Linked DNA regions of Drosophila melanogaster. The protein of the gene in region 1 interacts with the protein of each later gene in a pairwise test. Each region holds a gene or a part of one and is shown on either strand. Other genes may lie near its edges.

The links.
Region 2: the proteins of CG13084 (region 1) and HLH54F interact in a two-hybrid assay, tested with the Drosophila melanogaster proteins (one large-scale study listed by BioGRID).
Region 3: the proteins of CG13084 (region 1) and LpR1 interact in a two-hybrid assay, tested with the Drosophila melanogaster proteins (one large-scale study listed by BioGRID).

What each region holds. Positions count from the first base shown.
Region 1 is NT_033779.5:19,480,581-19,488,344, forward strand, and holds CG13084 (uncharacterized protein), read left to right. Parts: upstream 1-4,349; 5' UTR 4,350-4,392; coding exon 4,393-5,317; intron 5,318-5,376; coding exon 5,377-5,816; 3' UTR 5,817-5,952; downstream 5,953-7,764. Other genes in the region: CG13083 (uncharacterized protein), read left to right, coding at 6,944-7,764.
Region 2 is NT_033778.4:17,753,322-17,762,876, reverse strand, and holds HLH54F (HLH54F), read right to left. Parts: upstream 5,473-9,555; 5' UTR 5,303-5,472; coding exon 5,227-5,302; intron 4,791-5,226; coding exon 4,441-4,790; intron 2,842-4,440; coding exon 2,539-2,841; 3' UTR 2,360-2,538; downstream 1-2,359. Other genes in the region: ACOX1 (acyl-CoA oxidase 1), read right to left, coding at 1-184, 242-534, 589-748, 1,488-1,611; Sardh (sarcosine dehydrogenase), read left to right, coding at 6,499-8,076, 8,130-8,272, 8,338-9,301.
Region 3 is NT_033777.3:25,755,464-25,764,185, reverse strand, and holds the start of LpR1 (lipophorin receptor 1), read left to right. Parts: upstream 1-3,863; 5' UTR 3,864-3,983; intron 3,984-4,900; 5' UTR 4,901-5,009; coding exon 5,010-5,394; intron 5,395-8,722.

The DNA.
Region 1 (7,764 bases):
CCACACCCCCATCCAGGACCCGGGATCCCCGCCCACTCCGGGGGCAGCCGCAATTGCCATTATGTTGAACACGCAAGTCAATTGATGCAATTTGTCCGAACGGCTGGAGGGGAAAGGAGCGGAACGGAGCTCATTCGGATTGGGATTGGAATTCGGGTACGGTTTTGGGCCAGGGGCAATCCCCCAGTGACAATGTGACATGCCGTAACAGGTTCACGGTCTGACGAATAGTGGGTGGTGCCCTGCGGGGTTCAGGGCCGCCATCCCTGCAAGTGGGCTGGAGGGGTGCGCTCATCAACAGTTAGCAGCTTCTGCTGCTGGTGATTTAAGGGTTGCCAGCCAGCCGGCTCGCCCTTAAATGAATTGCGGCGATTTATTGCGGTAATACTCATTTAGCCGACCAGCCCCGAGGGGAAAAAACGAGAAGAGCTCACTGTATGGTCGAGGTAGCAGACTAACAGATACCCAGTACCAAATATATATATTTCTTAAGATAGCTGCCAGCAAAGAGAACCTTGTTAAGTATCTTCACTTTAATCCAGATATTAAGAAACTAATATTTCTTTGATATAAAAAAACTTCCACCATTTATCCTTAAGGTAAACTAAATTCCAGTTCAATTACCATTATCATTTTAATTAATTTTTGCTTTATTTCCTATTAAAATCAAAGATAGACGCATTTCTTTACCTTTTAATGTTAACATTATTTGAATAATCAATTTAATGAAATATATTCAAATAACGCTATGGCATTGTTGAGATCCAAAAGTCGACCTTCTCTGTGCAAATCCACGGGTTCATCACTCCCCTGCCTATCAGTACAGGGTATGCAAAGCCAGTCGAGTCGAGTTGAGTGCAAACAATGCGCACAATAAAAATAAATCTCTCCGGAACAAGTGTGTGTTTTGTTACACCCGTGGGAAGTCCGAGTGAGAAGTTGTCAATTACTTGCGAATCGATCTGGCCAGGCTCTGTTTTGGCATTCATGTCACCGCCAGGTGAGCAGGACCTCCTCGAATAATCGCCCTAATTGGCGGCTTCCAGAGCAGATGGGAATGGGAGATGGGCGGGATGGTACGTGATATGCATTTGCACCTTCTAGGCAATTAATAAGCCAATTCCACCAAATCGGCGGCCACGTAAATCAGCATTATGTCGGCCCAATGAAAATGAGCTCTAAATTCAATTACAGTTCTTGTCTTCTCCGCTTTCCCAAGTCGCTTTCCATTCCCGCATAAATCAGGAGTTCTGGGCCGCCTGCTCCTGAGATGCCAAATTACCCGGGTCCCGAGATGTCTTAGTAAATGCTAAGCGGCTTTGGCGCTCATAACTCACCCGGACACTTTGTCACATTATGCATTTAAATTTAATGTGTAATTTATGGGCGGCTTTGTCGACCTTCCCGCCTGCGCTGTCTGTTAATTAGAAAATCGGTTTGGAACAGTATTTCCAGGGGCACAATCTGGCAAGGAAAGCAGAAAAGTTGAACTACATACAATAATATACAAAAGAATATCCAAGAAGTTGCTTCAAATTGTCTTTCAACCAAGCTACTAATAATTACACTTCACATTTTCTGACACAAATTGTTATTGAAACAACAAAAGCTTAACATACCTTGCTTAACAATATTAGTTGCCCCATCCTTTGAAAACTATTTTCAGCAACAATGATATTTACCCTCCATTCCCAATCTTCGCTCTGCCGTGATACTTGGGGGGGTGCTCATTAATTACACTCCATAATGGTTACTTCCGCTGGGCCACATAATAGCATAATTAATCGATATTAAATGAACAGCAGCAGGACAATAAACGCCGGAAGCCAGCCACAAAAGGTTAAATTAAACGAAGTAATTGTTACACAGCCTCAGCCGTTGAAACTCGACCCCCTCTGGCCGTTTGTAAGGTCCTGAGGAGGGTTGTCCTGCCTGGGTCCTTTACAATGCATAATAAACAGTCGAGCGGGCACGGAGCAAACAAAAGTGGGGAACGAAGCTCGTTGAGATTTTGATTTTTAAACGGCACGTCGGGGGGTGGATGCGCTGGCTGGCTGGTTGGGATTCAGAAGACAAGGCTGTAAAGCGCACAAAGTCACACGGCAGGTGGCGATGAACATGGGAAGAGTGGGTGGGTGTCTCGGCACACAAAGTGATTTAAATGCATTTCTAATGGGATGAAATTATATACTGTCTGAGCCAACACAAGCTCTCTTCAACTCCATTCTCATTCCTACTCTGATTTGCGGTTTTCAAGGGGCGGACATAAATATGCATGAATTTGCGCTTTTGATGTGCTAGCCATAAAGAGTTTATTCCCGAACGGGACCACCTTCATCTTAAGCTAAGTGCCTTTACTTAACTTTAAATTAAACTGTACATTTTTTAATTAAAATTGTCCCATAAAATAATAATTAATGCTCTTAGGAGACACCGTCGTGATAATTTGATGGCCAGCTAAAGCCGCTTAAAATAATTTCAAAACACCAATTTGTGACTGCCCCATTTCAGGATTCACATTTAGCATCTTATCAGAGCTTAGCAGCTGGGGTCACCACCCGTCCAGCTACGGAATGTGATTACAGCTTTTGGCGCTCCGCCTGAAATTTCAGCGGTTTCAAGTGTCCATTTGGCGGCGCAATATTTAACTCCAAGTTTCGAACACCAGGACCATAGGTATAGCGATGCAGATGCTTTGAACGAGCCCTAAACTCTTCTTCTGATCCCGGAAAACTGATTATTTCGTGAACCAAGTGAGGTTCGGGAACATAGAAGTCATCGCCTAAGGTAAATGATTATTTAAAAAAAATGATTTGGATATTACACTGAATATTCCTTTAACATACCAGGTAAGACGAAAACCATAGAGCCCTGGCAGTTATAACCAATCGGCAAGAACATGGTCGTTCCCAATCCGCTGCGCTTGATGGCAAATTCCAACAGGGATTGATACGCCTTAATTCCCATCAACCGGGACAATTCGTAGACCTGTGGTGGCATGAACCAAACATTGCCCAAATCAGCCAGTCGCAGCAGTTCAACGGGTGTCAGCCACTATATACATAAATAACTCGTTTATTGTGAATTTGGGGTTTAAAAGATAAACCTTACCAGCGTTTCCTTGACCTCGGAAGGTTCTTCCAGCAATTCGGGCTGCTTGTCCACAAAAGCCATGAAGAAAACGGTTTCATGCCTATTAAGTGTAATATAATCTATATTAGAACCAAGAACTTTACCATACTTTTTTTAGATTACTAAGCAAAGAAATTAAGCTTTCATTTATGATTTTTTTGTGACCCCATACCCACCCTTTGCGTATGAATCCTGGACTCGCCCAGGCAGACCACTCATGCAGAGCCCACAAATCTGGAACTACATTTAGCTCGCGGCAGAGAGTTAGAAACTCAGCCGGCTTGTTGTGCACCCTTCGCTGCCACGACTCCAGGTCTGGAACAGCCTGAGCGCAAGTTACCGCACCAAAATCCAGTTGACTCCGACTCCGGCAAAGCAACAGACCCACCTCTTCAAAGCATTCCCTCACGGCGGTTAGTCGCAGCGTAATCTCCCTAAAAAGACAAAGGTCATAGATTAAACTCCCAATGTGACAGAGTTTAGCGCAACCTTTGGACTCACCGAGCCCAAATGCGGGAACGCTTAAAGAACCGATCGTAGCAGCCAGTGCCCTGGGGCGCCAGAATGGCAGGACGATCTTCGCGGATGAGAACCAGGCGGCGTAGTGCCTCTTGTGGAACACCAAACTCCTCGAGGTAGTGCAGCCAGGCGACGCTTTCATCGGCCCCAGAGTCCAAGAGGCCACCGGGAAATACAGTCTGATTGAGCGCAATCGCCGTGGCATCACTGCGTTTTAGCATAAGCACCTGAAAGGTCAGGATTATGGTTATCCGCTTTTGGAAATGGCCTCTTCACTTTCCTTGTAATCTTTGTTATTGCCATCATCTCTGGACACCAGGATTACACTGGCCGAGGTGCGCCACTTGGTAGGAGATGCAGGTTGGCTCATATCTGCTTTTATTTAGCCAAATGAGTAGCAAAACTGTTTAGTTCCATCCACAAAGAAAACGAAATCAAAAGGTTGTTTTGTTCCCTCCAATCAGCTGATTGGTCGATAGGCACGATAACGACTCCTGTGCAAAAAAAAATCGATCGATAGCCGCCTAATCAAAGCGCTGAATATTTGAAGTTTGAATTCGTGCGAAATTCAAACTTTACCTTTTTGGTCAGATTACCATGCAGAAGCGAGCACGAAGAGCAAAAAACCCAAATAGATTAGTTCCAATCCACACGTGTTCGCAAACATATTTAAGCTCTGCCCTTGGACAACAAAAGACACTTGCAATTGGTGTTTCCAGTCGAAAACAACTTGCAGTTGAAATGAAAGTACTGATCACGTTCTTCTTTCTGGGCGCCTGCCTCTGCGGCATCCAAGCGGATGAGAGCATCGCTGACCTCTTGAAGGACAATGCGAAGGGCGTACAGGCAGCCAATGTGCTCCTGACCCGGATTGCCCAAGTAAGCGAGCAGACTCAGGTCGGTTTGGCAGAGCAAAAGGAGGCACTGAAGGCCCTGACGCTCGTGGAGAAGCTGCTAGCCAAGTTGACTGTCGTTCTGGAGGTTGGCTCCCACAATCTGGTGGCCACCCTTGAGAACCTCTCTAGGCAGGGCGAGGAATACGGCAATCGAACGGAGTCAGAGCTCCTGGAATTGGTGCGTCTGCAGGAGGGCACCAAGGAGATACTCAATGTCCTGGAGGCCAAGCTGGATGCCTATCAGAGGCACGTGCTCCATAGTTCCCGCAACATTGACAACAGCATCGACGGACTGGCCAAACTTATTACTAGGACGGTGTTGCCACAATTGAATGGGCTAAAGTGTACCTTCGATAGCTTGGAGACGTCCCAAATCAACGTGGAGGTGGAGCTGAAGAACTTGGCCGGAGTCAAGGAGCTCAGCGAGAACTCCAACTTCAAGCTGAACGTGCTGGAGCATCAATTGAAGCAGCTGAATCGCACTCAGGAGCAGCGCTTGGACATCCTAATCGATGCAGTCAAGCATTTGCAGCCCCACAGTTCCTGGAAAGTGGAGGCTGTTCTCCGCGAACTGATCATCTCGCAGAAACGCATCGAACTGGGTCTGGAAGAGTGCAGCCGACAACAGCCCTATCCGCAATATGGCCATCACGACGAGTCCTATCTTCCCACCTACGGAGCTGAGGTCCCAGAGCCGCAGCATGCTCATCCTAAGCCCAAGCAAGTGGATCTGGAACAGGTGTGGAGCATCAAGGAGGAGCCCAAGCACGGTAAGTGGTCCTTATTGCCACCAGATTAGGATCACAAATTAATGGCTTGTCGTTCATAGGAGAGCACTCTGGAAACCACAAAGCTACCGCCTATGCCCAGTCCCCCGAGCCAAAGAAGAACTATCAGAGCTCCAGCGCCGTGTCCTGGCGGCAGACGGTGCCGTGGGAGTACGGATCCCCATACCAGTCCGCTCCAGTTCACCACCATCAGCCATGGAACCCAGCTCCGGCCCACGTTCCCACCTCCGTTACCAAGCCCAAGCCGTGCCCCAAGAAAGAGCACCCTACTCCGGCATCCTATGTTCCTTTGCCACATGACCAGCCTGAATCCTACAAGCTTCCTGTGGATTACAGTCCCAAACCTAACCACGAGCAACCTCATAAGCCCCACCACGAGCCACAGTCTTACAATGAGGAGATCTACAAGCCACAGCCCATCCAGCCAGGAGAATCCTTCAGGATTTGGTATGGAGACAGTTCCCTCCCCCAAGGATACTAAAGGAAGATTTAACTGGGACTACCACTGTTACTGAAACTGATACAACTTTTCAAAGCATTTAACAAACTCTTTTTTTTTAATTCAGATTCATTACTTTGTACAATTTTTATGTTTTATAAATAAATAAAAAAAAAGCAAAGGAAATACATTTTTGATTATATTCCTAGCAAGTAATTAATAAATAACTTTTGAGAAAAAATGCTATAGTTTCATGGAAATCATATGCATCAACTTTTAGCATCGTATGCGAAAATATACATTCAATTTCCAAAAACTTTTCTCAAAATCTATTCAAAATATACGAAGAAATTTTTGTTATTTTGTATGTTTTGTAGGTAAATAAATTCACCTTACTATTAACCTATGCTATTGTTTGTTGATAGAAGCAAATTTTAAAAATATTTTAAGCTTTTTTAAAAGTTAATAGTAAAGGATCCAAGTTTGTTTAAATTTGCAAAAGGCATCTTGGCCAATTTTTGAATAGGCATGATAATATGAAGGATAATTAATTATACTGCTGTTTTCGAAATAGGAAACAAAATATAGACTTATTAAACTTTTACAAAATTACTTTAGTTCGCTTTATTACTTTATTTCTTGTAAACGATAGACAGTATGCCCGAAAACATTTGTTACGTTATCATTACCTTCGAAGACCTATTTTCTGAATGAATTTGAACAAGAAGCAGCTGGGGCACGTTTTTCAGTGGTGTTATTACTACCGTAGCACACAAAAAACCGGGTCAATCTGTTCTGTTTAGAAACAAAGAAGAATTTTGAAACGTGACACTACACGGATTTTCCCTAACTTTACCAAGATGTCGATGAACCAATAACTATTTAGTACGACTACATGCAACATAATTCGCTTTAGTTCTTTCTTTTTACAAGATGATAAAACAGTTGTTCGCGACTATCTTCTTAGTAGTAGGGAAATTCTCGTAAACACACTATTACAGATTGGAGCAGCATTTGCACCTGCACCCGCTGAAGAGAAGTGGGTGGTGACCGAACTGATAGAACTTAACCCAGTCTAAGACACGTTTTGGACCTTAAGTTGGGCTACTTAAGTTGCGGTTCGGATCGAAAAGAGACACTCAGCGGGGAGCGGCCATCAGAGAAACACCATGAGAGTGCGACTGACTTTGCTAACGATATGCATTTACCTATGCGCGGCTGCAGCTGAGGATCTGGACTCCATCCATGAGATCCGCAGTGAGGTGGAGGAGCTGATCAAAGGTACGGAGGAGCTAAACCATGGGCTGCAGAAAGTGAAGGACGTGCAGAAGGGCATTGAAGAGAAGTTCAAGCATCAGCGCGACGAGATCGAACTCATTGCTGGATTGGAGGTTGCCATAGCCAAGCTGGAATCGAACGTTCAAAGCAGCTTCCAAGCCACGGCCTCTGGAGTGGGAAATTTGACAGCCATTGTTAACGCAATCCAGGGTCAGAATGAAAACTCTATTAGGAATCTTACCAAAGTGGAGCTAGAAATCAGGAAAGCCCTGGAACAAGTGGCTGCCAATCAGAACAAATACGAGCAGAACCTAAATGAAGTGGCCTCATCCGTCAACTCGCATCTGTCGGAGATTCAGCAGCTGCTATCACAGGCCGTCATAGGGGAACTCATCGGCTTGGACAATAAAGCGAAGGTCCTCCAGGAGCAGCAGCGCAACATCGTGGGTCAAGTGGGATATCTGGGCGAACTTAAGGCTCTGGCAGATCGTGCCAATCGCAAAGTCAATCAATTGGAGTGGGGTCTGGTCATTCTCAACCGCACTCAGTCCGAGAGCCTCAACAGCATCGAGCACACTGTCCATGGAGTGCAGGTGGCCACCTCACAGGTCGATCATAAACTGGCTGCCCTACTGAACAATCAGAAGAACATTGAAAGGACGCTGGATGGCTGCAAGCACAAAAATCCGTCACACCAGAAGCCCCACGAGAT
Region 2 (9,555 bases), on another chromosome or scaffold:
CCCAAATAGCCATTGTTGACACCCTTCATGCCCAGCTTGGTACCAATATCTCCAATGTCGATGCCGGGCATGGGACGGTGAGTATCGGAATCCCTCAATTGGACAATAAAAGGAGCCAGACCACGGAACTCGCCCTTGGTGTAGAGTTGTGCCACCACAACCGCATGGTTAGCAGTGTGTCCCACTGCAAGTCCCAGATTTTATAACAATTTCAAAATATTAAGTGTTCAAGAAAACTCACATCCACCGGGCCACCACTTGTATGCACTGAGTGATGGAGTGTTTATAACAAACTCCTGGGTGCTGGCATCGTAGTCAGCCCTGGTCTCCAGACCGCGCAGGAAGGTTCCGTGTCCCAGTTCCGTTTGGGCATAGGTGCCAATGATTTCACAGTCCCAGGCCTTGCTCAGCCATTCCACCTGCTGATCCATCGTTCCCTGGCCCATGATGGTGGGCACGAACATCACGTAGTGCAGCGCAAGCGGATTGCCCTCCTTTAGAATAGCCGATCCCAAGGATCCACCAAGCAGAGCACTATAAGCACACAAATTACAACCTGAAGTACATTAAATATAAGGATTTCTTTACTTGTAAGTATCCACTCCATCCTCGCCATCAGCACGTAGCTTGCGGATCTTCTCTCCTATGATGCAGGCTTTGCGCAAGCTGTGCTCATAGAGCTCCTTGTGTGACAAATAGGAAATGGGCAAGTCGTCCTGAAGGGCTGGATCCTCCAAAAACAATTTCTCTGGAAAAATCATAAACGAAATTTAATGTAAATGAAGCCATAAGGAAAGGGATTTAATATTTTAGGAGGTGTCATTTAGATAAGCATTGTTGAATTTTGCAGCGTAATCATGAGTGGAAAGTATTCTTCGTTAATTCGCGGGAGTTACTGGGCATTGTCCATTTATGATGCCCTGAGCGACCGTGCAAATCTGTCAGATAAACCTATCAGCTAAACTAATTTCAAGTGGACCTGGAAATAGATGGTGGGTAGCTGCAAACATTCAAAGTACACAAGTAGTCGGATTGATCGCGATTCGCGCGAAGTTCAAAGATTAATAACTTATGAGCTGGCTAATAGGTGCTGATTAACTAGTAGCGGCTTGTTTATGCGGAATACATAATTAATGAACTTTGGGCCACGGCGTGCAGCAAAATCAACAAATCGCATGAATGAATGGACGGAGAAGAAGCGTATCAAAACAAAGAAGTTGACAGGATGTTTTGGATAATTTATCAGTGGCTGACATGGCTAGCATCAGAGTTTGTACCCTACAGATTAGCTATAAATGCGTTAAAGCCTAGCTTAATTGCCAAGTCATGCTTTTGGCACAATTTCTTGCATCCACTGTTGGGAAACGCGATTGCGCCAAGCTCAGATAAAGCTCTGAGCGACCGGTTAATGTGAATGTACATGTAGGTCTGTCGGGGTCACCGGAGAAGCTTGAAATCCGGTGTTTTTCCCTTCTAAGCTAACTCACCCAGGGCCTTCTTCTCCTTGAATCGCTCCTCGCCGCCGGCCCACAGAACGGAGAACTCCCGGGGATTGAAGGTGGCCGTGCTGCGTTCCTTCTGGAGATCGGGATTCACTGGTTTGGCTGGCATTTTGCTATGCGGCACAGTATTCAAGTCACGTAAACAGGTTATGGATTAACGAGCCACCGCAAAGCGTCCGTCTTCGTTGAATATCGCGTACTGACTGATTGTTGCTGGAAAGGCGAATTGCGCTCAGTGGTCAGTCAGTCGGTCACTCAAGTGCTGGTGGAGGAAATCCAGTGGAGGAGATTGAGATTATGGACTGCTGATCTGATCCAGCTATTCCGAATCTAATCATCGATGCCAGCTCTCGAACGACGTGAACTTTAACCGCGAAAATACACATGTAATAAGTTCGCTTTTGTGTTGAAATAGTCTGTAGCACAACCATTATTCTCACGCCATTGTTGTTGGGCTACATTTATGAGTAAATACACAAAATAAATACACTGCATGTAAAAAGTACTTGGGCGTTTTCTTTCAGTTTGTTTCTAATTTAAATAAGATTGCTTTCATAAGCTTCTTTGTTCGTATAATTTGTTTGCAAGTGAATAATGCAAATTCACTACATCTTTCTGCATAAATAACATCTTTAAAATGTCTCAAATTAGCCGTTTTAAAAAAAGTAGGGTATTTGAATTCCGCCTTAATTAATAGATTAATTTTGTTTTTAGCAGCTCTTTGTTTGTATTGTGACGAAATCAGCTGTTGAACAGGGCTGCAAAATACAAACAAGTACGGCAGCACTCGACAACTCCAGGGATACAGTCACCATAATCTTGGCGCCAATTCAAAAAAATTCAAAAATTCCAATTTTATTAAAAACATAGATATATTTGCTAGCTAAATGATCATGAGGTAACACCAATCTTTGGCCTTATAGCATAGGTTCAGGCTTGCACATACGGAAACACGTAAAATTAAATCACGATTTAATACACTTACTAGGTGGTAAATTCATTTGGCTTAGGTCAGAACATTATTTATAATATCCGCTTAAATGCCATGGGCATGGCTAGTGGCTATAGCTATGCCCCGCTGATGCTGCCCCATTCCAGAGTCATAGGAACAGCTGGCCGCTGGCTCCATTTGATGCACTTCCGCCGGATACCAGTGACTGTGAGATTCCGGCAACTGATGGTAACTTAGATCCGCCGAAACATGGGTTTCGCCTCGCGTAGTCTTCGGATAAGATTGCGTATGCAGGGTTTGCCAATCCATACGGGCGGATGAGGTGGTTGATGATGATGGGGCAAATGCCAAACTCCGGCTACTCTGGTGGAACTCAAAGGGCCAGCTCTGCAAGACAGTATAATGTGGAATGTGTGGATAAAACAGGCATAAATCATAGGAGTTGTGGAAACCGCAGGGGCTATATATGGAACAATATGACGACAACCCATCCCGAGACAGCGCCATTGTTTGTTTACGCAACTTTGATTGTTTTTAGTGCCCACCCCCGCCTCCACGTCTAGATCTACAATAACAGCCTCATTAACGGATCTATAAAAACATAAACAGCCAAACACTTGCGGACAAGAGACACTCATTTGTATGCCATACAATGAGGGATTGGAAATGGGATATAGGGATGCTAGGGCTAGCGAGCAAATAGCGAACCAATGGGTTGTTCCCAACAGATCATCTTGGGCGCGTGGATGGTATAAATTCGGATAGGGTCGGGACTCTCCGATCCGATCTGATTTGCCACCATATGGGCACAAGACGGAGCCGTATTTGCTGAATTTTTCACGCATTCGGTGTGTAAACAATTGCATCTATTTAGATAAGTTGTGCACGCCATGAATCTTGAGTGATAGATTGTGTAAACTCCAGCGGGAATGGCTGATGGATAAACACGGTTAGACAAATTTTAATTACAATAATCCGAGTGGGAAAACTACTGAGGATGACACTTTCCCTCGCATGTCATTCACTGTGTCGCTTCAAAGCATCAAGAGCATCTTTAAAAATAAAAAATAAAAGCAAAGACTAACTAGTGCCCCCCATCCAGATCCGCAGGTCTGCGTTACCATCTCCGTTCCCTGCCCGCTCCACCAACAGCCTGTCACTCATATTTAATATTTTCGAAATTCACAAAAGTATCGGATTACAGGAAAGCAAGGCAGTCTGAAATCACAAAATGTGATTTCGGTGTTCTAGTGGGGGGCCCGGCTGAATGGCTGACTCCGGTCATGGGATGTGGATGTGGTTACGTTTGTGGTTCACCTCCACATCTAGAAAAGGTGGAAATACTTGTCGCCGCATCGCGTCCGCATCACCAAGCAGATGTTGCACCACATTCCTTTGGATTTTTGATCTATATTTCGCTAAAATTGCGTTGAATTACCCCTATAAGTTGAGTAGTATTACTAAATACTTAAGTTGCTTGTTAAAAAAAAAATGAGAATAATAGATTGCGTATACGTTTAAATTGTAATAGTATCAATTTTTTAAATTTTAAACACTGAAGCCTGGGTTTCCGTGTAACTTTCCACGATCTCTAAGTTAAAATTCTACGAAAGGCTAATTTCAACTAGCAAAATTTACAAATATCTACCTACTTTATTTCCTTAATGGCTTTTCAAAGAAAACGCATAAAAGAAAAATTTTCATTCCCAATACCAAACTTTCCATAAAAAGACATAAACTTATGGGAATCCCGATCGGCTGAACATTACTTCTCAATTAGACTGAAATCCATGAATAAACATTGATCTTGGGCATATCACTGGGCATCCCCTGCGACACCTGTCATTAACTGACGAGATCCACCTGAAGTGGCCGGCTCATTAATGCGTTCCCGTTCCCCCGAGCCGCGGGTGCAGTGCATCGTTAAGTGGTGGCAGTGACATCACTTATATTCGGGCAGGGGGATCGCAATTGCATGACACTTACCATGCCGTGTCCGTTGTTGTGGAAATTATAATTGCCTCCACCGGACGAATCTGCCATGTGACTTGTGTCCAGGCCTTCGGAACTGGTGGTACTCGAGTGACTGTGGTTGAGGCTGTGGTGCTGGTTGTGGTTGTGCGGGTGGTTCTGCGAGTGGCTGCCTGTCTCCACAGCCGTAATTAGCTGCTTGATGTAGAGCGTGGCCAAACGCAACGTGTCCAACTTGGAGAGCTTCGTGTCCGGCGGAATGTTGGGCAGCTTGGTCTTCAAACGTCCGTAGGCGCTGGATAAAACCCGCATACGCATCCGCTCCCGGGCATTTGCCGCATTTCGCTGCACCGGCGGTTGGGAGCCTGGAAAATCAGAAATGTAGATACATCTTAAGGAGCTCCAATAACAAGAGATTAATTAGAAACAAAAGGTTTTATTGGTATCCACAAAAGTTTTAAGTTACATTATAGATATCTTCGCAAAGTATGAAGTTCAAAAAGCATATGGAGTATGAATTTTAAACTCAATTTATATCTATTGTGCTTTCTGTTATTATAATTTTTATCATTATTATTATATTTTCATTTAGAGCTTAACGCATTTTAAATTAACATTCCTTTTAAGGTAAATTCTAAAGTTCGATTTAAAAAATTCTAAGGAAATTGAATTTTACTTTAAAGTAAATAATAAATTTACAAAACTAGCTAAACATATTTACATTGTCAACGTTTTTAAGCGTTTATAATACATCTTTTTAATATAAGTACAAAATCACCTATAAATTGAAATCGAACTCACTTTGAGAACTGGCATCCTCATCGAAGTCGTCATCAAAGAACTCCGTGGGGCTGGAACTGCGCTTCTTGCGTGGCATTGTTCAAAAACAAGTTGGTGGTATCACAAGAATCACTTCGAATATTTTCAAATTGGATATAAAATTCCAATCACTCAGTTTTCTCACTTAAAATCGAAACGCACCGAACCGAAACCAATCTGTGAGTCGAATACGTCCGATCTGCGTGGCACGTAGAGCACTTCTGTCACGGGTTACGGGGAGATCCTCCTTTTTGAGCATTCTGCTCCGCAGTTTGCAGCTCTCCAGATTCCGTCTATTTCTGGCACCTCTGGTGGGCGTGCCTGCTCCGCAAACAGTCCCAATTGGCGGAGGAATCCGGACACATGGTGCGATCGGCGGTCTCTTTCTCGGTTGTTTGCCTTCTGGCTGCCACCACATTGGCCACACAGTGTTCCTCCGTCGGTCTGCGGGAAAATTCAAAATGAAACGCTCGGTTTATCCGGTTCACTACGGGCGTTGGAGTGGGGATGTTGTGCCGTAAGGATGTGCGACGGGCGAGTGCGAAGCGTGCCAAGACTCCGGCTCCAGATGGCACCACCTGGTATTCGATCTCGCAGTGCATTTGGAGATAGGCATTAATGGCAGATCGGAAGAGATTATAATCCTGGGGTTCAACTGCGTATCCTGTTTGGGGTCGCCGCGATGGTTGGCATTTGAGTATGGGTCCAAAATTTCATTGCTTATGTGGGGAGTTTTAAGTTCCGAGAACGATTTTGACTTTTCAAATTTTCTGCGGGAAATGAAAATACTCGAAAATATATGTACATATATGTAGGCAACACTTTGTTTAATCTATAGAATTTACGTTTTCTTTAAGTGCTTTTAAAAGAAAAGCAAGAGTTTAATAAATCTATTTATATGAATGGATTAATTGAAACCACAACATATTAGCAAGAAGCATCTGTTAAACCGCATCTTTATTGAAACTAAAAATTTGCTCAGATTAAATTGTTTTTTGACCTACGTAGCTGCTAACTAATTTTACTACTTGCCACGCCTCCGAACCCAGATAAGAAACGTGCTGTGACCCTAAAACGTGGCCTTGATTAGGGCCTCCAGTCATGGATGGAACGTCACTGGCACAGCAGGTTTATCAGGATGCTGAACCATGGGTTATCCGATCAATTCAGCGGGAGATTATTATGGCGGTATTGTGTTTTTAACTCGAGAATTCAGTTGAGATTCTAAAGTCGTCGCGCTCGGCCGTTTTTGAGATGTGGCGCCATCGCATCCTGCAGCAAGCTTCGCGCCGTGGAATCAGCAAACAAGTGAGGGAAGATGGAGGAGCTCGAAGGGAACCAAGTGGATTCCTGCCAGGCGCAGCAGATGTTGTGGTTATTGGCGGTGGTTCGGCGGGCTGTCACACACTGTATCACCTGGCACGACGTGGTGTCAAGGCCGTGCTCCTGGAACGCGCCCAACTTACGGCCGGAACCACCTGGCACACGGCTGGATTGCTGTGGCGCCTGCGTCCCAACGATGTGGATATTCAGCTGCTGGCTAATTCACGTCGCATGCTGCAGCAATTGGAGGAGGAAACGGAGCTGGATCCGGGATGGATTCAAAATGGTGGCATCTTCATTGCTCACAATGAAACGCGACTGGACGAGTATCGCAGACTGGCCACTGTGGGCTCAGCTTTGGGTATTGAAAACCAAGTGCTGAGTCCGGAGGACACCCAAAAGTTATTTCCCCTCCTCGATCCGTCGGCATTTGTGGGCGCTCTCTATTCTCCGGGTGATGGTGTCATGGATCCGGCGATGCTGTGTGCGGCCCTCAAAAAGGCAGCCACTAATCTCGGAGCACAGGTAATCGAGAATTGCGGAGTGGATGATCTACTGCTGGAGCAGACTGCGAGGGGTAAGAAGGTGGTGGGTGTTTCCACGCCTTTCGGGGACATCAAAGCTGAGAAGGTAGTGAATGCTACAGGAGTGTGGGGTCGTGATTTGGTGGCCCGGCACGGCACCCATCTTCCCCTTGTGCCCATGAAGCATGCTTATATTGTTTCTGAATCCATTCCGGGTGTTAGAGGTCTACCCAATATCAGAGATCACGATTACTCCACCTACTTCCGCATCCAAGGGGATGCCATCTGCATGGGTGGCTATGAACCGAATCCCATTCTGCTGGAGCCCGTGCCCAAGGACTTCCATTTCGGACTCTACGAACTGGATTGGTCGGTGTTCGAGACCCATGTCGAGGGAGCCCAGAAATTGTGTCCAAGCTATGCGAAATATGGCGTGAAGAGCACGGTTTGTGGCCCGGAATCCTTTACACCCGACCACAAACCCTTGATGGGTCCGGATCCCAACCTAGATGGGCTCTACCACAATTGTGGCTTCAATTCAGCGGGCATGATGTTTGGTGGTGGTTGCGGAGAGCAGACCGCCTTGTGGGTCATCCAAGGTCAACCGGACCTGCCCATGTTTGGCTTCGATCTGCGCAGATTCACCCAGGAGCAGGGCAAAGCCATTCAGTGGATTAGGGAGAAGTCGCACGAGAGCTACGTGAAGAACTACAGCATGGTCTTCAAGTATGATCAACCACTGGCGGGTCGTGATTTCCAAAAGGATCCACTTCACGACGAGATGATGAAGGCAGGCGCCGTAATGGAGGAGAAGCAGGGTTGGGAACGGCCTGGTTTCTTCCTGCCCACCGGTTCCAAGAAGGCGGTGGTTCAGCCCTATGACTGGTACGGAAGCTATGTCCACCAGAGGCACAAGGACAGCGAGTACGAGAGAGTTCTGGATGGGGATCTTCACTACAGCCGCTTCTCGGAGTACCACGATCTCGTAGGTAGCTAAGTAGCTTATGGAAAGCCAAAATAATGATATATATCTTTCAGATCGGTTCGGAGGCCCTGGCATGTCGCAATAACGCCGTGGTCTTTAACATGAGCTACTTCGCCAAGCTGCTTCTAGATGGTCCACAGGCCCAGGAGGCCGCTGACTGGCTATTCTCCGCCAATACCAACAGGGATCCCAGCAAGTAAGATCCATGTATAGATATACAAATTTAGAAACCTTTCTAAACAATTACCACTTCCATTTTAGAACTGTCTACACCTGTGCTCTAAACGATGCCGGCGGAGTGGAGGCGGATGTGACCATTTCCCGCCTTGCTCCCGGTTCTGGAGAGGTCTACAATCCCAAGATCAATGGCCAGGGCTTTTATATTGTGGCTGGCGGCGCTTCTGCCTTCTACACTTACAGTGTTTTGCTGGCAGAGATCCGTCGAAAAGGATTCAATGCGAGCCTCAAGGATCTGACTGCCGAATTGGGTGTGATTTCTATTCAAGGACCAAACAGCCGAAAGATCCTGCAGCCCCTCATCGACTGTGATCTGTCCGATGAGCACGTAGCTCCCAACAGCACTCGATTAGCCAAATTCGGTGATGTGGGTCTCCGTTTGCTGCGGGTCAGCTTTGTGGGAGAACTGGGCTACGAGCTTCATGTGCCCAAGAAGGATTGTGCTGCCGTCTATCGGAGTCTGATGAAAGCGGGAGCTGGAGAGGATTTGCGCAATGCTGGCTACCGTTCCCTTTACTCCCTCAGCAGCGAAAAAGGCTATCATCTATGGAGCTTCGATCTGCGACCGGATGACACGCCCCTGGAAGCTGGCTTGGGATTCACATGTCGCAAAACGGGTGCAGATTACCGTGGCAAGGCGGCCATCGAAAATCAGCGAGCTGAGGGCCTAAAGAAGCGACTGGTCTACTTGACGCTCCGGGATCAGGTGCCCATCTGGGGTTTGGAGGGAGTCTACCGAAATGGCGAGCCCGTGGGCATACTTAGACGAGCTGAATATGCCTATACCCTTGGAAAGTCCCTCGGTCAGACATACGTGTCCCGACCAGATGGCAAGATCATCGATGCTGATTACATTCGGAACGGGGAGTACGAGGTGGACATCTTGGGCAAGAAATACCGCGCCGACTGTCACTTGCGCAGCCCATTCGATCCTACCGGCCAACGGGTTCTCGGTAACTATGCATCCGAGTCCAAGTCCAATAAATAAAGATTAGTCTCTTCCACTTCCAAGAACTCGTTTACCCGGCATAGGGAATTTCTCTCAACCTTTCTCTTTCTGGCAGGGCACGACGGTATTGTTGAAGTGCCTGCCTTAACATACATGTAGGGTCATAAATTACTTTCCCCATGAATATGAAAAGGTTCGAAGAAAGGTCACGGTGTAGGCAGACAGGCAGTCTGCGAAGTGGTCACCCGAAATGGTTGCGGTTACGGCTCAATTAATTTCTGTGTCCAACTATT
Region 3 (8,722 bases), on another chromosome or scaffold:
CAAAAACCAATAATTGTGTTTACTTTCAATGAACCTTTAGTTTTAGGAATGACCCATATACGATTTCAAAAACTTACCACAGACTTGTTAATACAAAGTATCTTTTGGATACAAATGCATCTCAGCAGTACAAAAGTATCTTTCAGCTAATAAGTTACATAACTTTCGCTCAGTGTACCTACTCCTTTTGCTTCTGTTACTACTTTTGATTTTGCTGGTGGTGCTGCTTGTATGGTTGTTGCTGCCCTGCAGCGACCGCAACGCCTCCTGCCGCAACTTTTGCTGCCACACTATAAATATAACATTAATTTTTATGTTTTCATATTTAGCAACGCTTCGCTGGGCAGACAAACACACACACACATAGTCGAATACCCCGAAGCAGTAGCGCCCATAAAGATATGGCCATTGAATGACGTTTATGAGCGATAACGCTGACGTCGCCGCTGCGCAACACTCACTGTTAAGCGGTTAGCAGTGGCTTAACAGCGCTTTTCCAGCAGCATCCACAACTGTTTCGTTTGGTGGGAAAACCTCTGCTAATGCGCCGCGGTCGCTGCGACTGCGACGCCGGCTGTGGCAGAGGCTGCTGCGTCGGCGACTTCTATTGTCATTTGGCACATGTGAAATTTACCGTTACTTCTTCGCTCATTCATTCGCTGTTTACATTCGGATTCGAAGACTTTTTCCAATCGCGCGCGACTTTCGAAAATATATTCCATTTGAATTTTCGATAACATCCGCGCCACTGTTACTTCCATACGATCATAGAAAAATATATTTGCTTGTTAAAATTTTCACAAAGTATTTAAAAAGTGAGAATATATGTAAAAATGTTGAAAAACTATTTCTAAAATTCTTATCTAAGAAAAAAAGCATGTAAAAAGAAACGCGTGGAAAACTTTTCGTTTCTACCTAATGCGTTTGACGTTTTTTTAATCAAACTCACTGCACTATGTTAATTAGCCAAATATGGTAATAGGTAATTAAAGCAACCCCCTATGGGGTGATGTGATTGGAAATGGTAAAGAGACAGACACTTCATATCCACTACACAAAAAAAACCAACGACGAACTTTCAGAACCGCGTCGATAGTCGAGTGGATCGGAACCAACAAAGTGTTAAGAAATAAAATAATGAAGATACAATGCATAATATGAACTGTGAAGTGCAAGGACCACACAAAGTGTTCATAACGCAAACAAAATAATAATCAGTGTATATCAGTGCAAACAATACTAACGAATTCCCTGGAAAATCGCAGCAAAGTTCAATTAGACCTACCACAAATGAGGTGTAGACGCCACCGAGTTGAGATCTTCAGACATTGTCTATACGTAGACCAAATCGAGACTTTTGCCATAACAACAGCAAACATTGGGTCATGTAATTCCCAACTGCTCGTATAATGCCCTGGTGTTGAAAGTGTAGAAAGGGCGTATGGAATTTGGGCTTAATTTGATAAAGACTTAAGTCAGAATTTCCGCTTTGGAATTACTCGATCAATGCACTTAAAATATTAATTTAGTTCAAGTGGAACTACAGTCTTACCTAATTATCATGAATTTTCAATAAATACGACAACTTTTATGATCGTTTATTTCTAAAACTAATTAGTTTTTTATGTTGCGATGGTTATTAATATTTCTGCTCGCTTAATTCGATTTTTTTAAAATATTTCTTATATTTAAATTATATAGCCAAGGGACTCCTGTTTCGGTATCCGAAAATAGCGATTACAGTCAGGCCACTTAAAGATTAAAGAACACTGATCATTATCTGGCCAAGCGATAGTTGATAGATGGGCTGGCCCTTCACGCCTGCCAAAACCACAATAGACACATATGTATGTATTGGTGTATATATATATGTACATATGTTTTCCTAAACTCACACTCGACAAAACTTGAACACACGGCACGGGGCTGCAGGGCGATAAAATGCAGTGTCAATTGAAGTGCTTGATTAGGCGATTTGCGAGCGATTCGCCAGCGATTTCCAACGCCTGCAATTAGAGACGGCGGCGCACTGCAAAATATACAGAATGGTTGGCAGGGGCGTTGGTTTGGTGGGGGTTTTCCGACGGCTCTGTCATTCACAAGCATCGCGGGGTGGTGCTTGAAAAATGATTTACACGCGCAAATCATAAATTATGCCCATTTCAAGTGGACCGTTACGCCGGAGAATCCATGACAAATGCAGATGACGCCCAAGCACCGATGACGATGGTGATTGCAATGCAATCTAATGGCTGATATGATGGTGATTGTGATTGCGGGTTTGATTGAGATTTCCATTGGTACTGGGATGCTGCTAGTGCCGATAATTGTTTTGAAGATGACGCATTTTAAATGACTGACCCTAACCGAACCCATTGTCCGCTGGCTGCGATTTTTCACCGCCTCTTATCATCGACGTCAGTCAACGCAACTCTAACCAAGCCAAAAGCCAATGAAATCAAATCCACGACACTCCAGTTCAATTTCGAATTTCACACCACTTTCAATCGGACCCACACCTGGTTTGATTGAAAGCGGCGACACTTTCAATGCTAATGAGCTGCGATTCCGTTTACCAATCGCCGAAAGGCATTTCAGTTCGCATCGGTCTTCGCTGGGCATCACACCGTAAAACCTTCCGGGTCCCAAAAAAAAATCAAAAGAATTAAGTATATTCAAAATACCTATTTGATACCTGGATATAGTTTCGGTGGGCCCATGCAGAACGTCACGACTGTCGTACGATTATCGGCACAATTCTCACGTCCGGTTGTCCAGCTTAATTAAAAAATATCTTTGTTTTTCGCACTGATAAACGCGGTGGCAACGCAAAAAGGAAGTCTAGATACATACAGTCTGAAAAACGTATTTTCGTACAGTACGATGTTTAAAAGTGATCTCTGTGTGCTGATTGTGATCTCCTTGGCGTTTTCCTTACATTCAGGTTGGTACTGTAGAAAATAGGATTTTTTCCGAGGTCTGAAACTGCTCTTAATTCGGAGCCCTTAACCACTTATTTTTAATTAGACTTTAATATCAGATTGAATAATTGGCTGACCAATTACATGTACATCTAAGTACACTTTGTGCGATTACCCTATATAACCTTTGTTGGTTCGCAAACATCATTCTCAAGTTAGCACTTGAGTCCTTCTTTTTCTTTCTCAGGGGATATTTGCCCAACTTGAGTATAAAATAACAAAACGTATTTTTAAATTAAAGTGGATTCTTGGCATTACGACAAGATAATTATCACTACTTATTCAATATATTTCCACGGAATTCTGTCTAGTTGTGAAATCAGTCGCAATATTCCGAAAGTAGTATGATCCCTTATCATAAAAAATACTTTAATTTCTAAGGCGTAGGTTTATAACTTAAGAAATGATTGATCGATTCTTAATAGCTGGGATTCGTTAGCATGTTGCTTTTGTTTTTTAAATAAATTATCTCAGTTGAAGAAGCATTTAAAATTCTTGTAGTTTTTAAACAATGCTTCTGTAATAGTTGTATCTATAGATCGCCCAACGATTCCTTGCCCAATCTATCCATTCACATCAACGTACGCTCCATTGATCACTGATCAACTGGTTTGCCTTAAGAGCACCTTGTACGTTAGTAATCTTTTGGGGAGCTAAGAGTGGAATACAGCATCGATTAAATTCAGAGAGTGCTCCGATCTGCCAGATCACTCTTTATGTATCTCTTCGACGGGGTCTGGTCAGTTTCTTGTCAGTTTTGATAAGGCCACCTTAAGACGGTGCAAAAACAAGCACAATCGCAAACGACAGTTACTCTCGGCTCTCGAATTAAAATCGCTGGCGATTCGCTTAAATTTGCAGGCCAATTCTCTAAGCGAATTCAGTTGAAAAAGGCGCGTTGTGCGAAACGGGCATCACAGTTTTTTGCGGTTTATTTTCAACTTAAAAACCAAATAAAAAACACAAAAGAAACAAACAAAGCGAAATAAAAACAAACCTCATGTAATTCAAACATTCTACAGATTTAAATGCAATGATCTGTTTCTGAAATAAATTTGGAAAGACGCGATTAGCACGTGCCGCACATTCGCAGACACCTTGAAAATACCGCAAAAATAAATCAAAATAAAAGGCAAAACTGATAAGAGTTTATTTATCCGGGCGATTTGACGCGTGCTAGCTACAAATATCGGCAACAACAATATTTAATTAATTTATTTGCGCGATCGGAGGGGGCGTGGCCGTCCGCTCAACTAAATTTTAAATTATACTTCGGCTTTATTAATTGCCAACGTCAACAGAAACGTTTTTGTTTCTCTATAAAAATTAAGGGAAAACTTGTTTTTCTTGCTAATATACAATTATTATCAAATATTTTACTTATCGTTTATAATTTCCATATTTTACTCAAAATAAATGTTATTTCTCGTTAAGTACATATATAATTATTTTCAAAGTTTAATATATAAATGAATTTTCTGTGTAATTTTATGCGTTGCTTTTTTTCTCTCTTCGCATTTTTCGGTGATTTTGTTGTTGTCCGATATTTTTGCTTAAATTTTTTTTTTTCGGCCTTTTCGGTTTTTGTATTTTTTTTTAGCTACGTCGCGTTTTTGTGTGTCGCACGATTTTCAACCAGTTTCTTCAGTCTTCTCATCTCGAAATAAGAAATGTGAAGAGAGACGAAAGTAAAAGAGAATTGGCCGGATCGTGTGTTTATTTTATTTTTTGGCTGGCAAGCGATTCTTCCAATGTTTTTGCGTTAATGCTTGCGTTTATTTTTACGTTGACGCTGGTTCTTTTGGCCATTTCTCTGATTAGATAATCTCTGGCGAAGATCTCACGCTTCCTGCTTAGATAATCTATTCAACCAGGGTCACCAGAAATCACCCCACTTAATTTTCCCCTATCGAATACAGTGTCTATACAAACCTTGTAAGATCGAAGTGATAAAAGTGTGAAAAAAGCATTAAACAGACAGCATAAATTAAAGCAAAAGAAGAGTGAAGGCAAGCAAAATACCGTACCATGGCCATAGAGTCACGCTCTACGAGCACTGCAAGTGAAACCACAAAAACCGCCATAAAATCAACCACAAGCTCAAAATCTCCAGTAACATTCGGTAATCTCGGCGAGAAAAGACGCGCCGAACAGCTGTTCCGCTGCGCATGCGCCAACTTCAATCTCCTGCTCCTGACTTTAATGCTCGGATTCGGCAAATGCTGCACTGCCACGCCCACGCCGCTGAACACGCCCTCAACGAACACGCCCACCTCGGCAGTTAGCCCACATAATCCACAAACGCTGGACGAGAGCGGATCGCTGAGCAAGGTGATCGATGGCAAAGCCTTCATCAACATGGGATTCAAGTTCCTCAACGTTTCCGGAAAGATTGGCACACCCCTCGGCATAGGTGAGAAATGCATTGGCTGATTGAAAAAACCGGCGAAAATAGCGAAAAACCAGAAAAAAAGATCGCACAAGGGGGGGCACAAAGTGCGATGTTTGTTTATAGCCTAGCTTGTGCTAATTTTAGACCACAGATGTCGTCGAGGTTGAAGTCGAAAATGAAGTTTGGATACCCTGGCTTGGGGTATATATAAAATGATTCATTTAATCTTTTCAACTTGATGCCTATTTACAAATATGTAAAATGAAAAAAAATTTGTATTAATAACTGCGTTGTAGAACAAAGTAAAGTACTTAGCTTGAGCTGATAACTTAAAATTAAAGCGCGTGCAATCGAATTACAATTTAATCGTTAAAGAATTATCAACCAATGCTAAGAAGCTTTTCATTAAACTTTATTAAGCTGATAGTGTTTGAGTATTTAGTTATTAAATTATCCCCAAGCCATTGAGCAATGTAAACGATTATTTCAAAATATTACATTATCTTCGCAACTCCAAGCAATCCTCTTTGAATGGAAAGTAAGCAGTTTTGACTTATATGAGTCAATAATAACATTTAAGATATATGGCCTTTCCATTATACTGCTTAATTTATAATCATCACAATCTTGGTCACAAGGGTATCACCTGCATGTCGAGTCATTCAAATGGCTTTGCTCACTTCACACTTCGTGCACTTAAAATGGGCTCAGTTAAAAAGATACAGATACAAGCACTAATGCAGTTGCAGATACAGATACAAAAGTGCACCTTCCACTTGTTGCACACACACAGACGGTATGCGGACCTACTGTTACCGTGGTATCGAAATAGCCGAGAATTTTTTATCCACTTCCGCATTGATTTCCGCCTGGCTGACCATCGAGAATCTGTATCTTCTAATGGCTAAGCGATAGGAAAAGCGTTTGGCGTCTATCTGTGACGTTATTTTGTGGCGCGGGGCATTCCAATCATAAATCTAACTTTAAATCTAGCCACCTGTTTTGGCCAATATGGATTTACGTTTAGTGCTAGCCCCGAACTGGGGATTATCTTATCGGTCAATTTTACGATTTGTTTTTATGCATTTTTCGACCGCCGGGATTTCGCGACTTGAAGATAAGTGGACAATAAAGGGCAGTCAGACAATAGAAATTTCCTTCTATAAATCAAGAATTAATGGATTGATAGTGCAAGGAGCTTTGAATTGGTGCCATAAGTCATTCAAATGATCTTGAAAACATATAGATAAAAGAATATGAAGTGTGAAAACTACGATTGTTATAAATTAATATTTAATTTTTAAGACGTATTAGAGCAGTTATCCTAACCAAAATAATTTATTTTTATTGTTCACACATTTTGGTTTGAAACTATTTTTAAATAGCTAAATTTTTTAAGCAGTTCGCACTTTTGAAAATCAATCAACATATTGAGTGCCAAAAAATAGTCTTAAGGCTAAATCTGCCACATTTACTTGCATTTTTGTACTTTGCTCTTGGGAATCTTGGACTTTGCTCTATATATTATAAATTGTTGACAAAAAAAAACACACATTTTCTTAAACATCTCACAAAAAAACAAGGCGCATTTCAGAGATATTTGTATCAGAAATTGACGTAGTTCAGAAAATCGGTGCGCCATCCTACTGCGATGCCTAATTTAAATTTAAATATAATTTTTTTTTTTTTGGCTTTTCAGTATGCAGTGTACTAGGAAAATTCACATAAATATAGACCGAGTCGAGCCCCCAATTCTCAGTCGATTTGCGTTGTAATGCTGCCCATCAAGGGGCATTATCTCTTTGATATTCTCTTTTTCCCTGCTGACTTATTGTTAATTCCATTTGATTTTTCACGCTTGAAAGTTGCTGTCAGATAAATTAACATATGCTTGATATGATATATGTACATATGTATGTTTGTTTGTGCATATGTATATGTTCGCATCTATATGCGATGTGGCAAGGTCGCCGAAGAGAGGCAGAAGTTGATTCAATTTTTATTCGTACGCCCCATTTCGATTCAGTTTTTAATTTATTCGCTGTGCCAACAGATTTCTCTAGCATATAGAACTAGCTGGTGCCAGAACCGATGGCAAACAAACAATAACAAATTAATAGTGGGCGTGCTCATCTTACGTAGAGAGAATGTTGATGCAGTTTAATTGTTTTGTTTGCTTACTGTAAACATGTTTTGATTGATTCAACTATTCTTGGGAAATTGTTGATGCATCAAATCATTCTCTATACGGGCCGCATCCCCCAGGAATCACGTGTTTTGTCATTCCATGTATAACATTAAATTCATTCAGGCAATTATCAATTATCAGGTAATCCATTAACCTTGATTTTGACGCAATCGGGGCGCTGAGTTTATCAAAGGCTGTGCTCCCAGTTGAATTAATATTAATTAGTGTTAAATCGGGGAAAAAGAAAATAATGAACTGATTTCGTTTTTTTCCCAGCAATTAACACCTTGCTCAACCAATATAGTCATATCAGTTTTTCCCACAGTTATGATTACTTCTTAGTCTAATATGACCATGTGATAAGGGCTTATCAGCAATTTTTTGGCACGCTGTGTCTATTGCTTTTTATTTTTGTTTTTGTTATATACTAAAAAATAATCGTATGATGATGACAACTTGCAGTTTCTGATTTTCGAGCGGCGAAGTGAAGTTTATTGGGTTAAGCCAACCGGATTGTGTGTGGACTTGTTTTCGCCTCTACGATTAACAAAATCATTAGCTATGCTAAGCAGTTTGCCTATCGATATGGTTTATTTATTCATAGTCTCGTATTGTGTGTGAAGTTTGGCCGAAGTTGGCGGCAGACAGGCTGTTGTTGCCCATAATGGTGATATTGATCTGGTTTTTCGATCTGTGGGGTGTGTCCGCCTCATTACGGAAACTCGGTAATCAATAACCACCGACTGGTTCAATTTAGTCAAACTCAATAGGTTTAGATTGTGACAAGAAAGCAAAGGAACTTAATTGATAGGTGGCAACCGGCTGGAAAATCTATTAGTGGGTTAATTGATGTGCAAACTGACGGTTTAAATCACTTTTCAAGGATGTTTTCTGAATTCATCTTGAGTTTTCTAGCAAAGTTTAGCAAAATTCTTCCAAGAAAAACCCTTATCAATCTCAAGCTATGCTAATTTATTTAAAGGCGCGTTCAGGGTCACAATTTATAAGTACTTATTTCTGTTTGCCTATTTCTACTCGTAGAACCTCCATATTATTATTTTTTCATTATCCTATTCAAAATCCTTCTGTGAGCCGCAAGCTAATATTTATTTTTGTACTTTTTCATTCAAACACCCGCCGCATAAGGCAAAGGAACTCATT